3 linked regions of the Xenopus tropicalis genome follow. The protein of the gene in region 2 interacts with the protein of the main gene of each other region in a pairwise test. Links are inferred from orthologs where the notes say so. Each region holds a gene or a part of one and is shown on either strand. Other genes may lie near its edges.

Region 1 (4,150 bases), about 60 Mb from region 2:
TGCAGTCAGGGGCCCATATAGGTGCCATGTACAGGGGCTATATTCTCTGCAGTCAGGGGCCCATATAGGTGCCATGTACAGGGGCTATATTCTCTGCAGTCAGGGGCCCATATAGGTGCCATGTACAGGGGCTATATTCTCTGCAGTCAGGGGGCCATATAGGTGCCATGTACAGGGGCTATATTCTCTGCAGTCAGGGGGCCCATATAGGTGCCATGTACAGGGGCTATATTCTCTGCAGTCAGGGGCCCATATAGGTGCCATGTACAGGGGCTATATTCTCTGCAGTCAGGGGCCCATATAGGTGCCATGTACAGGGGCTATATTCTCTGCAGTCAGGGGGCCATATAGGTGCCATGTACAGGGGCTATATTCTCTGCAGTCAGGGGGCCCATATAGGTGCCATGTACAGGGGCTATATTCTCTGCAGTCAGGGGCCCATATAGGTGCCATGTACAGGGGCTATATTCTCTGCAGTCAGGGGGCCATATAGGTGCCATGTACAGGGGCTATATTCTCTGCAGTCAGGGGGCCCATATAGGTGCCATGTACAGGGGCTATATTCTCTGCAGTCAGGGGCCCATATAGGTGCCATGTACAGGGGCTATATTCTCTGCAATCAGGGGGCCATATAGGTGCCATGTACAGGGGCTTTATTCTCTGCAGTCAGGGGCCCATATAGGTGCCATGTACAGGGGCTATATTCTCTGCAGTCAGGGGCCCATATAGGTGCCATGTACAGGGGCTATATTCTCTGCAGTCAGGGGCCCATATAGGTGCCATGTACAGGGGCTATATTCTCTGCAGTCAGGGGGCCATATAGGTGCCATGTACAGGGGCTATATTCTCTGCAGTCAGGGGCCCCATATAGGTACCATGTACATAGAAGCTTTTTGTTTTTTTAAGGGCCCCATTTTACAGGGTTCATCACCTTTGGGGCCCAGGTGACTGGAGGGTTAATACTTGAAGCCGCATGATTACTTTTGACGGCCCTGGCTGCTGGTTTAGGATTGGCTGCTGCTGTACTGGCACTGTGAGACTAAAGCAAAGGGTTAATAATATAAATAAAAGGCAGAGGCTTTCCCAAAATCAAGCAGCAGGCCTGGGAGCGTAACCAGCCCCGTTAGCAGAAGCAATCCAGTAAGCAGGGCTTCTTCCAGAATGCAGCACTACTGCGCTAGTAAGGCCCCGCCCACAGACTGGCAATTCCGCCCTGTTCTAATACAGCCACGCCTCTTTCCCTAACTAGCCTTTTCCTTTCTCCACGCTTCCCCGCCTCCTCCTTCCCGCTCCATGCCGGCCCCGCCCACCCCCTGCTCAGTGGCCCGGATGTAGGCTGGATCGCTGCTGCTGTTGCTGCTGGTACGCAGGCGCGGCCCGTATCTGGGGGTTCTTGTTGTCCGCGGCCTGGGCCGCTGTGGAGCGGGCGGGGGGTGCCGGAAGAAACGGAGCTTTTCTTCACTTCGAATTCGGTAAGGAAATAGGCGGGAAGGAAGGGGTTGCTCCGGGCCTGGGCTGGGAGTGTAGTTCCCAGGCCGCCCGGGGATTAGCTGCCTTGCCGCTCATGGAGAGGGAGGGGACGGGCTGAGGCTCCGGGGCACAAACACTGGAGGCGGTGAGGCGCTTGCCTATCTTACGGGCGCCTTTAAAGCTCCTCTTTTCCCATAGGGGCCTATGGGAGTTACGGTTTGTCAGCTCTTACACATATCCTGTGCGGCTATTGTTGTTGCAGGGGATGATGGGAGTTGTAGTTCAGTAAAGACAGAGAAGCCCAAACCCTTATAGTGGTTTCCTAATTCACCTCTTAGAGGTTGGGGATTTGATTGATTGTAAGCTCCCTGGCTGAGGCTGATATGTACAGGAGGGTTTATTGACCCCTAATGGTTCCCAATAACCATGGGGTTATTTTATTGCTACTAGGGATGGGCAGTGGCAGGTAGGGATGGTCAAACCGCCTCTCCTAATGCTTTCCAATGGGTAGAACAGGAGACACAGGGAGAATATACAAATATATATATATAATGCCCTGACTGGGATCGAACCTACAACCCCAACACTTACCCCAGTGATTACTGGACAATACTGCTGTAGGACTCGGTAGCTGGGGCACAGAGAGAGGTTATAGGAATATCTGAGCCTAGCTCCCCCCGCCCATAAACCAGGCCACTGTGGGCTGAAAGGGACTGGCAGGTTTAGGTTTACTTCCCCTTTAAAGAGAATAGTAAGCCTCTAGGAAACATTGCTTCCTTTCAACGCTCTTATGGCATAGGGCTGCTGCCTAGCAACTAGTCATATGTTCCAATGTTAGACTGGATTGTAACTAGGAGTAGTTTTATTTGGCGGATGAGGCCTCTTGCAACAATGTAGCAGAAGTTGATTTCCTCCAGATCTATCTGCTGGCTTCTTCTACATTATTGTTATTAAAGATTATCATAAGGGATAATGTACCCCCTACTGTAAATGATAAGGATATTAGCAGTCACTGAGGGGTTATGTGCCCATATAAAGGCACAAGGCTGCAGGCTGAGTTATACAGGGAACTCTGAGTATCACTCATGTATTATAAGGGATAATGTACCCCCTACTGTAAATGATAAGGATATTAGCAGTCACTGAGGGGTTCTGTGCCCATATAAAGGCACAAGGCTGCAGGCTGAGTTATACAGGGAACTCTGAGTATCACTCATGTATTATAAGGGATAATGTACCCCCTACTGTAAATGATAAGGATATTAGCAGTCACTGAGGGGTTCTGTGCCCATATAAAGGCACAAGGCTGCAGGCTGAGTTATACAGGGAACTCTGAGTATCACTCATGTATTATAAGGGATAATGTACCCCCTACTGTAAATGATAAGGATATGAGCAGTCACTGAGGGGCTCTGTGCCCATATAAAGGCACAAGGCTGCAGGCTGAGTTATACAGGGAACTCTGAGTATCACTCATGTATTATAAGGGATAATGTACCCCCTACTGTAAATGATAAGGATATTAGAAGTCACTGAGGGGTTCTGTGCCCATATACATCGAGCCAAATGCAAAAAAAGACATATAGTGTCACTGTGTCGGTGAACACCAAACCATTGTCAGTTGGCAGATCGATGGGGATGTTGGGCTCACAGGTGGTGCGGCTGCATTGTGCAACCATAAAGCAGAGCAGCTGGGGGTTAAGCCGTGCAGGCACCTTAATGTCTCTGCGCATGAAGCGATGTGATTGGTGGTTCTGATTCCGTACACAATGTTCCTTTGCTGAAATTCATGATCCAGTTCCCCCCCCTTCTGTGAAACATTATATCTGATGCACGGATTAAGCGCCGGGGCTCAAGCTGCTTCTTTTAACAGTCGTTGAGGAGACACCATCAAGGCATATTATTAAATACAGCCTCATTCTTAGCATGCCAGCCGGCGGGCCGCTATCCCATCTACCATCATTGGATTATACACAAGCACTATACTGGGCTGGCAGATTGCTCTGAGCCTCCGTGCTGTACTGATATTAGTACCGGTGTATGCAAGATATCTCCGCCTGGTGTCTGCAATTCTTCTCTATTATTCATACTCTATGCCCTAGGGGGGTTACACAGTTCTGTATCCTTCTACCAGAACAGATCTGTGCATTTAAGTGACAAGCACATATCAGTGTAAAGCTGGGAATTAGGGATGCACCGAATCCATTTGGCTGAATAACGAACAGATTGCTAATTAGGTTACGGAAGGGTTACATCTTCATTAGCAAATGCTTATTAGGGTACGGAAGGGTTACATTTTCAACTTCCGTGTTTACGTGACAAAAAGTCACGTGATTTTTTGAATTTGGTTCGTCCAGGAGCATGGATTCGGCCGAAAGCAAATCCCGAACTGAATCCTGGATTCGGTGCAGCCCTACTGGGAATACACGTAGAATCTGTAATGGTCTGAACATTTTGGCTCCCAGTCCAACAACCAAACCATAATAGGGGCCCAACAGGATTCTGTAATGTGGTGGCCAAACTGGATCCAGATATCAGTCAGACAGGCCAGCAGGAGGGCTCCATATATTGGCTAATATGGGGCTGACTTGATCTGGAGGGACTAAAGGTGGCCATACACAGTAAGATCTGCTCACTTGGTGAGGTCGCCAAGCGAGCGGATCTTCTCCCAATATCCCCA
Region 2 (3,589 bases):
GAGATTAGTCGCCCGCGAACAGGGAGTTTTGCCGCGGGCGACTAATCTCCCCGTGTACCAGAGCCCTGAATGTGCACTGATCCATATAACAAAGGGGGTTATGTAATAAAAGGCACTAAGTTTACCCAGGAGCAGTAACCAATAGCAACCAATCAGCAGGTAGAATTTACTGGTTGCTTGTTTGAAAACACATCTTATTGGTTGCTATAGGTTACTGCTACTGGACAAACTTAGGGGCTGATTTACTTACCCACGAACGGGTCGAATGGAGTCCGATTGCGTTTTTTTCGTAATGATCGGTATTTTGCGATTTTTTCGTATGTTTTGCGATTTTTTTGGATTCTTTACGAATTTTTCGTTACCAATACGATTTTTGCGTAAAAACGCGAGTTTTCCTATCCATTATGAAAGTTGCGTAAAAAGTTCATCATTTTTCGTAGCGTTAAAACTTACGCGAAAAATGTGCAACTTTTCGCGTAAGTTTTAACGATACGAAAAATGATGAACTTTTTACGCAACTTTCGTAATGGATACGAAAAACTCGCGTTTTTACGCAAAAATCGTATTGGTAACGAAAAATTCGTACAGAATCCGAAAAAATCGCAAAACGTACGAAAAATTCGCAAAATGTTCATTTTCAAGTCGGAACTTTTCCAATTCGGGTCGGATTCGTGGGTTAGTAAATCAGCCCCTTAGTGTCTTTTATTACATATGGGGGAAAAAAATGTCGCCTGCATCTATTTACCTTCACATAATGTTTACTGGGGTAGTCCACCTTTAACCTTTAGTCTGTTAATAGCATGGTCTTTTTTTATTTATAGTTTTTGAATTGCTTTCCTCTTGACTCTTTCCAGCTTTCAAATGTACCGACTACAATAGTAAAAAAAAAAAAAAAAATTCAGCCTCTCATTCAAACCACTGCTAGGGTTGCTAGGGTAATTTGGGCCCTCATAACTAGGTAGATGTTGAAAATTTACACTGAAGAATGCTGAGCAAAAAGCTAAATTCAAAAAAATTACCACCAATAGCAAATTCTCAGAAAAGCATTCTCTACAAATTACATAATGTTAAAGGTGAACAACCCCTTAACCTGTGAACCACCAATATAACCGAAGTCTCTTTACATTTTTTTTTTTGTATGTTTTATATACCGTTAGCTTATGTATGCAGCACTGTACAGCAGAACAATAAATTAATAGAACGAGTCATTACAATAATAGATACAAACCACTACAAAGTACAGTTTCATTAAATATTACTCAGTGAAGAGTCCAAGAGAATGGATGTCCCTGCCCTGTAGAGCTTACAATCTAAGTGGGTGGGTAACTTGTAGACCCAAATAGAGGGATATAAAGTGCTGCAGGTTTTAAAGTGAGCGTTAAATATGCTTCACTAGAATGTTTTTACAGGGTTGTTAACCACAACATAACATAAATGCATTGTTATTGATTATTGGGAATGTATAAGGCTGTGTAAGTTGCTTTTTTAACTTAGCTTTATTTTTTCTGTTATAGATTACAGCACCTATAGCCAAACTGGAGCCCAACAAAGGTAATTTGGTTTAGCTATTTGTATATATTATGAACCATGCATTCAGAAGCATTTCTGTGCATTGTTGGCTGAAATCAGGTTGAACAAGGGGCCATTCTGCCACTTGCAACACTACTCTTTATACCACCAACAGTTTATGCTGAACATACTTTTTGTTTTTTTTGTCAAATCTATATTTATTTCATTAGCTAAACAGAGCAATTAAAGCTACTTCGTGGTTGGTCCTTGCAAGATACATCACCAGTATACAACCTCCTCCCTTCCCCCTTTGATGTGACAGTTTTGTTAGCAGAAGTCCAGTGTGTAAGGGGGATTATCTGAGATCTGGTAATCTAATTACCTTGCAAGGCCCAAACATGAAGTTGGCTTTCCTATCTAGCTCAAGAAATATCAAACTGTAGATTTACATTTTGTTATTCTGTGGGATGTTTAGAGTAATTTTAAAGACAGAAAAGAAACGGTTTACTTCTTCTTTGAAGTGCTATTGCAGTGAAATGTCAAAAATAGAATGTAACATGGTAGATCCTTTTCAGTTGATCTCACGTTATAAGGCATGCAATTTTCCTTTATACCAAAAACATGCGCTGGCACTGGTCACAAATGTTATGAGCTGTTAAGCCTAGGTAGGAATAGGAGTGTATTTGTACCTGGCTTGTATAACTTTATTCAGTGCGTTTTTTTTTTTTTTCTTAATGCAGTTACAGTGCATATACTGCACAACCAACTCAAGGCTACGCACAGACTGCACAGGTAATCATGTTATAAAGCATTTTAGTTCATTGTAAGAATGTGCTCTGAATGTACTTGATAAGCTCCATTGCCAACTTTAAAAGCTAATTTTTTTTGTTGAAAAAAAACAAACTTAACAATTCATTTTTGCAGGCAACTTATGGGCAGCAGAGTTATGGCACCTATGCACAGCCCACTGATGCCAGTTACACACAAGCACAGACAACAGCCAGCTATGGCCAGTCTGCCTATGCCACTTCTTATGGACAGCCACCAACAGGTACCGTTAAAGGGCTTGATGTAGCTCTTGCTGAAAATGTTTTATTGTTGAAAGTTGCCATGTTGTACAATCAGTTGATAAAAGCAGGGGCTGCAATTATTGGTGGTTAAATAAATAATTTTTTATTGCAGTGTTAAAGGAACAGTAACATCAAAAAATTACAGTGTTTTAAAGTAATTAAAATATAATGTGCTCTTACTCTGCAAAAAACTGGTGTTTTTGCTACAGAAAAGCTACTATATAAACTAGCTGCTGTGTAGCCATGGGGGCAGCCATTCAAGCTGGAGAAAAGGCACAGGTTACATTGCAGATAACAAATAAACTCTGTAGAATACAATGGCATTTTATCTGTTATCTGCTAAGTAACCTGTGCCTTTTCTCCTTTGAATGACTGCCCCATGGCTACACAGCAGCTTACTTATATAAACCTATAGTAGTCTTTCTGAGGCAAACACACCAGTTGTAGCAATGCAGGATAACAGTACATTATATTGTAATTACTTTTATACACTTTAATTGTTTGGTGTTAGTTCCTTTAAATGCTGCCTTCCTATGTAAGGAGGAGGGTTGGGTATGTAGGGTGTTACTGGTGTAGGGTCTGTTTTAGTCATGCACATCCACTATTTTAGGATCTGGCTGAACCCTGAATCCTTTGCGAAAGACTAGATCGAATACCAATCCAAATCCTATTTTGCATATGCAAATTAGCATAAGGGTTAAAGACAACCACGCAGGAAAAATTAACATTTACGTGTTTATGACAAAAAAAATCATGTGATTTTTAAGGATTCGGGCGAATCCTGCTGAAAAAGACCTAACCCTGGAATCAATGCATCCCTAATCTGTTTTTAAATGATGCTTAGGATAAGGCTCCGCAAAGTGGATTGTCAGCCTGCGTATAAGCGCAAGATGCCAATCCGCCCGTACGCATGAGAAACCTGAATGTGTCTGCACCCGGAAGCATTGCAGGCGCACGTAGCATATATCTGCCAACTAACGCAAGTCTTGGAGTTTACTGGTGAATTCAGT
Region 3 (4,109 bases), on a different chromosome or scaffold from region 2:
CTAGCTGGGAAACATGGCAATCTTAAAAGTTACCTACTTTCACAACTGGTCTGAAACTTTATTCAGCACCCTGAAAAAAGTATAGGTATAAGTCACTTTTAAAAAGAGACGTAAAGGTAAAAATCACTAGGAGGTGTGACCACCAGTAATTCTACTCATGAAGCTGGTGCCCGAGTCCAGTAATCATGAATACAGGAGTATAGCCCCAACATTTTTATCCTATTTATGGTGCATCCCATGAGCAGCACAGCGAGTCCAAGATATACTGTACTACACATGTGCACTTGGGCAGAAAAGCATGGCGGCAGGGTGCTCAGAAACAAGCTTCCTGGGCACCAGCCTGTGCATGCAAGTTGGGATTTTTACCTTTACTTCTTTAATCAGGCTGTAACACCACTGCACCACAGTACCATGTAGTGAAATGGCATTTGTTACATGAACTCTAAAGCCAAGTTGGCCAAAACACAACTAGCCAAAAATTTAAAGGATATTTACATCTTCTATTGGAGTCCGCAGGCTCATTCCATTGGCCAACTTGGCTACAAAGTTCTAGAAAAAAGTAACATGGAAAAGTTCACAATGTAACTTGTTTTTAAGCTAGCCACAGGTCAAGCCAGCAACAGCCAAGCATCTAATTTCAGACAGCTTTAAAGGAAACATGTGAAAATTATGAAATACAGAAGGATTGTGCTAAAAAAAAAGTTGTGTCTTGGACTGATTGAAAGATTCCCCCAAAACCCTAATAGTCCTGCCCATCTGTTTCACTAGATGTGAAGGGGGGCTGGCAGCACTCTGTACACTGCACTGTAGGATAGGAACCAATCGGTTTCCCATCAGGTTGGCTGACCTGATAGGGAACTGAAGCCTTTGCTTGTGTGACTGCCGGACTGTGATTGCCTATTTCCCCATTACTGTACTTCTGGCAGGGATCTTAAGGACACGCCTACCCCTCATTTGAAGCACTGACAGGAACCTGAGGATCTATAGGGAGCTCCAATAAAAGTAAAGCCAGCCCCAAATATTCATAATTGCCTACAAAATCAGTTTTTTCTTCATTTAGCCAATGCCCCCTTTAAAGTTAACAGGTCAAAGGTTACAGAATCACTACTGCTAATCACCATCAGTAAGCCAATGGCCATCAGAGCTTAGGTCAAGCCCCTTAGTTTACAGCAAGTCTACAGATGCAACTTGTAAGGCTTATACAATCAAATATGTAGAACAGTTTCAGCCCCACACATCTTAACACCTTCAAAATGAAAATTTAAGTAAATCTAGGAAAGTAAATAGTCTGCCAAATCTTACCAAAATTAGCATTCAATATAAAAGCACCACCATAAAATAGATCAGAATATGGAGTTCCAGGACCTTTAATAATTGCACTCAGCCGGAGGTCTTGTATCTGGGTATCTGTGCATATGTATGTAACACAACCAATCTGGCAATTCCAGAGGAGCCGCTTTAAAATACCATAAACCGTAACTATTCAGTGGGCTACTGTACTTTAAATACCAAAACCTATTTTAAAACCCAGTCCAGAGCTACATACATGTATTCAATGGGGCTTTATATATAGTTTCTAAATTTGCCTTCTAACCGGTCCAGCTTTCAGATGTGGGTCTCAGATCCCAAGAATCTTTGCTCTATATGGCCACAATTGTATTACTTTTCACTGATTATCGTACTATTCAGACCTACAATTCATATCCCTGCCCTTTGTTCCAACCACTCCCTGGTTGCTAAGGCTAGTAGAACCCTACCAACCCAATAGCAGCTGGAATTCCAAACTGGAATGTTGAACAAATTGAAGTTAAAAGACCCAACAAAAGAGACCAATTGCAAATTCTCAGATTACACTCTACCTCATTCTGAGTAACTCAGGTGAACAAACCCTCTATAGCCCTTTACCCATCAACCCTCTAGCACAGTCCCAGAGAATCTACAAAAAGCGATCTAACACATGGTTGTGTCGAATAAAATAAATGAAGTTGGTTTAGGATCGACCCCCCCCCCCCACTGAGCAGGAGGAATGGCGGGACACTAGAATCTCATGTCTCACAAGAGACAAGGGGAGCCGTTAGCATGCGGCCATGGCCCACCCCATTACTGAGAGACTGCTCGATACAAGCCGGCAGGAAGAATGGCGAGCCGTGGGCAGTGGGAAGAGCGCGGCGTGGGACACACGTGTTCCGGCTCCAGCCAGGCCCGGCTTTGTGCTACCGGCATGTGGGCGGGGCTAGGGGCGGGGCATCGCCTGGGGAACACGTGGCCGCTGGCTTCTCAGCACGGACGCGCTACTTACGTCACGATATCTCCCCACGCGTGAAATTCCCCGCAGTGGACGCCCGTGTGCGAGGCTCCTAGCCGCCATTATACCACATCCCTTTAAAAAGGACGAGTCACTGCTGTACTACAGCATTATCGCCTCCCCGGCACCCTAGGGGTTCTGCAGAACCGCTCAACAGAGACCCAGGCCCTGCGGCGTTTAAGCCCTAAGTGAGCAAATTCCAGCCATTTAACGGGGCGGCCATGGGGCGATGTGCTAGTTCGCCGCCATTGAGAGCGTAGAGTGTTAAAGAGTTAAAAGGCCGCAGTGGCCTCACAAAGCGCTCGGCTATAGCGCACAGCCCACCCACTCCCCATAGCTCTTCTCTCGGCTAGTTACCTCCATGTTGCAGGTGCTCGCTTCAGCCATGTTTGTCAGTCTCTCTCACGAATCTAAAAAAGAAACTCAAAGCCACGCCACCGGCTTTGTACGAGAGAACTGCGACATGCGCTTCGGCCCCTTTGCCTTTTATATAGAGAAGCACAAGCCCCGCCCACACACGGCACCGCCCCGGCGTCCTTCGCGCGTTTTTTTCTACCCCTCAACAAGAGCAGATTGTGCCTTTCTTCGCGAAACTGATCCGCCCCCTCCCATCCCCGTACTCCCATTGGCCAGTTTCTATAAATCTTGGCCCACTCACTGGCAGAGGGCTCCGCCCGTCAGTTCGTTCGCTTGGCTGATTGGTGAGTTTGTTTAAAACGTAAAACATTGCGTAATAAAATGGAGTCTTTGTATGTTGAGCTAGCTTAATTTTAGTAGTTCGAGTTTCGGCCGAGCGGTACTGGAGTCACAATACTATTCTTGAAAAAATATTTTATTAGCCTGGGTTATATGACAGAAATCACACATATATCCTCCGAGGAAGAACTGGACTCAATATAAGCCTTATCAGTATAAAGTGAGCTGACAAATCTGTGCACACGACTCCATGCCTATGTTATTGTCCAATGTGTCCTCTCCAGTCATAAGATTCCATGAAAGCAGAAACCTGTAAAGTGCATCACATCTCTACTGTTTTGGTTGCTAATACTCTGAATTAAACAGATAGATATAAAATACTTTAGGGTAAAGTAAAGGCTTCCCAGAAATGTATGAATGTTTATTAAAAAACATAAACTTTCCAATATTTATAATGTAAAATATAATCTATATATTGGAAAGTTTTTTTTGTTAATAAACAAATGCATTTGTAGACTATTTGAAAGAAATTGCTTCCAGTGCCCTCAGCAGTATCAGCCTGACCCATTGGCAATACTGCAGGTAGTCACTAGCACATTGGTGATAAGGGTCATTAGTTGGTATTTGGTTTTAGCTAGTTATTTTTATCATAAACAGGTCTATATACTAAAACTAAATGCAAAGGTGAACATTCCCTTGAAATTAAGCCAAATAATAGGTTCCCAAACTGCAGAGTGCCATTGAGCCCTATGGGAGACTTTCCTTGGGCCAGGTTGGAGCTGCAGAGTGCCATTGAGCCCTATGGGAGACTTTCCTTGGGCCAGGTTGGAGCTGCAGAGTGCCATTGAGCCCTATGGGAGACTTTCCTTGGGCCGGGTTGGAGCTGCAGAGTGCCATTGAGCCCTATGGGAGACTTTCCTTGGGCCGGGTTGGAGCTGCAGAGTGCCATTGAGCCCTATGGGAGACTTTCCTTGGGCCGGGTTGGAGCTGCAGAGTGCCATTGAGCCCTATGGGAGACTTTCCTTGGGCCAGGTTGGAGCTGCAGAGTGCCATTGAGCCCTATGGGAGACATTCCTTGGGCCGGGTTGGAGCTGCAGAGTGCCATTGA

Evidence for each region. The genes of interacting proteins can lie anywhere in the genome.
Region 1: the proteins of ewsr1 (region 2) and smad4.1 interact in binary tests that used the Homo sapiens proteins (3 or more experiments, as listed by UniProt). The link is inferred for Xenopus tropicalis from reciprocal best matches to the Homo sapiens genes EWSR1 and SMAD4.
Region 3: the proteins of ewsr1 (region 2) and prmt1 interact in a two-hybrid assay, tested with the Homo sapiens proteins (2 studies listed by BioGRID and IntAct). The link is inferred for Xenopus tropicalis from reciprocal best matches to the Homo sapiens genes EWSR1 and PRMT1.

What each region holds. Positions count from the first base shown.
Region 1 is NC_030677.2:205,056,704-205,060,853, forward strand, and holds the start of smad4.1 (mothers against decapentaplegic homolog 4), read left to right. Parts: upstream 1-1,309; 5' UTR 1,310-1,472; intron 1,473-4,150. UniProt on the Homo sapiens protein: In muscle physiology, plays a central role in the balance between atrophy and hypertrophy. When recruited by MSTN, promotes atrophy response via phosphorylated SMAD2/4.
Region 2 is NC_030677.2:144,953,171-144,956,759, reverse strand, and holds part of ewsr1 (RNA-binding protein EWS), read left to right. Parts: intron 1-1,514; coding exon 1,515-1,551; intron 1,552-2,249; coding exon 2,250-2,301; intron 2,302-2,433; coding exon 2,434-2,560; intron 2,561-3,589. UniProt on the Homo sapiens protein: Binds to ssRNA containing the consensus sequence 5'-AGGUAA-3'. Might normally function as a transcriptional repressor. EWS-fusion-proteins (EFPS) may play a role in the tumorigenic process.
Region 3 is NC_030683.2:111,004,756-111,008,864, reverse strand, and holds the start of prmt1 (protein arginine N-methyltransferase 1), read right to left. Parts: upstream 2,842-4,109; 5' UTR 2,693-2,841; coding exon 2,663-2,692; intron 550-2,662; coding exon of another isoform or gene 496-549; intron 1-495. UniProt on the Homo sapiens protein: Arginine methyltransferase that methylates (mono and asymmetric dimethylation) the guanidino nitrogens of arginyl residues present in proteins such as ESR1, histone H2, H3 and H4, FMR1, ILF3, HNRNPA1, HNRNPD, NFATC2IP, SUPT5H, TAF15, EWS, HABP4, SERBP1, RBM15, FOXO1, CHTOP, MAP3K5/ASK1, MICU1 and NPRL2.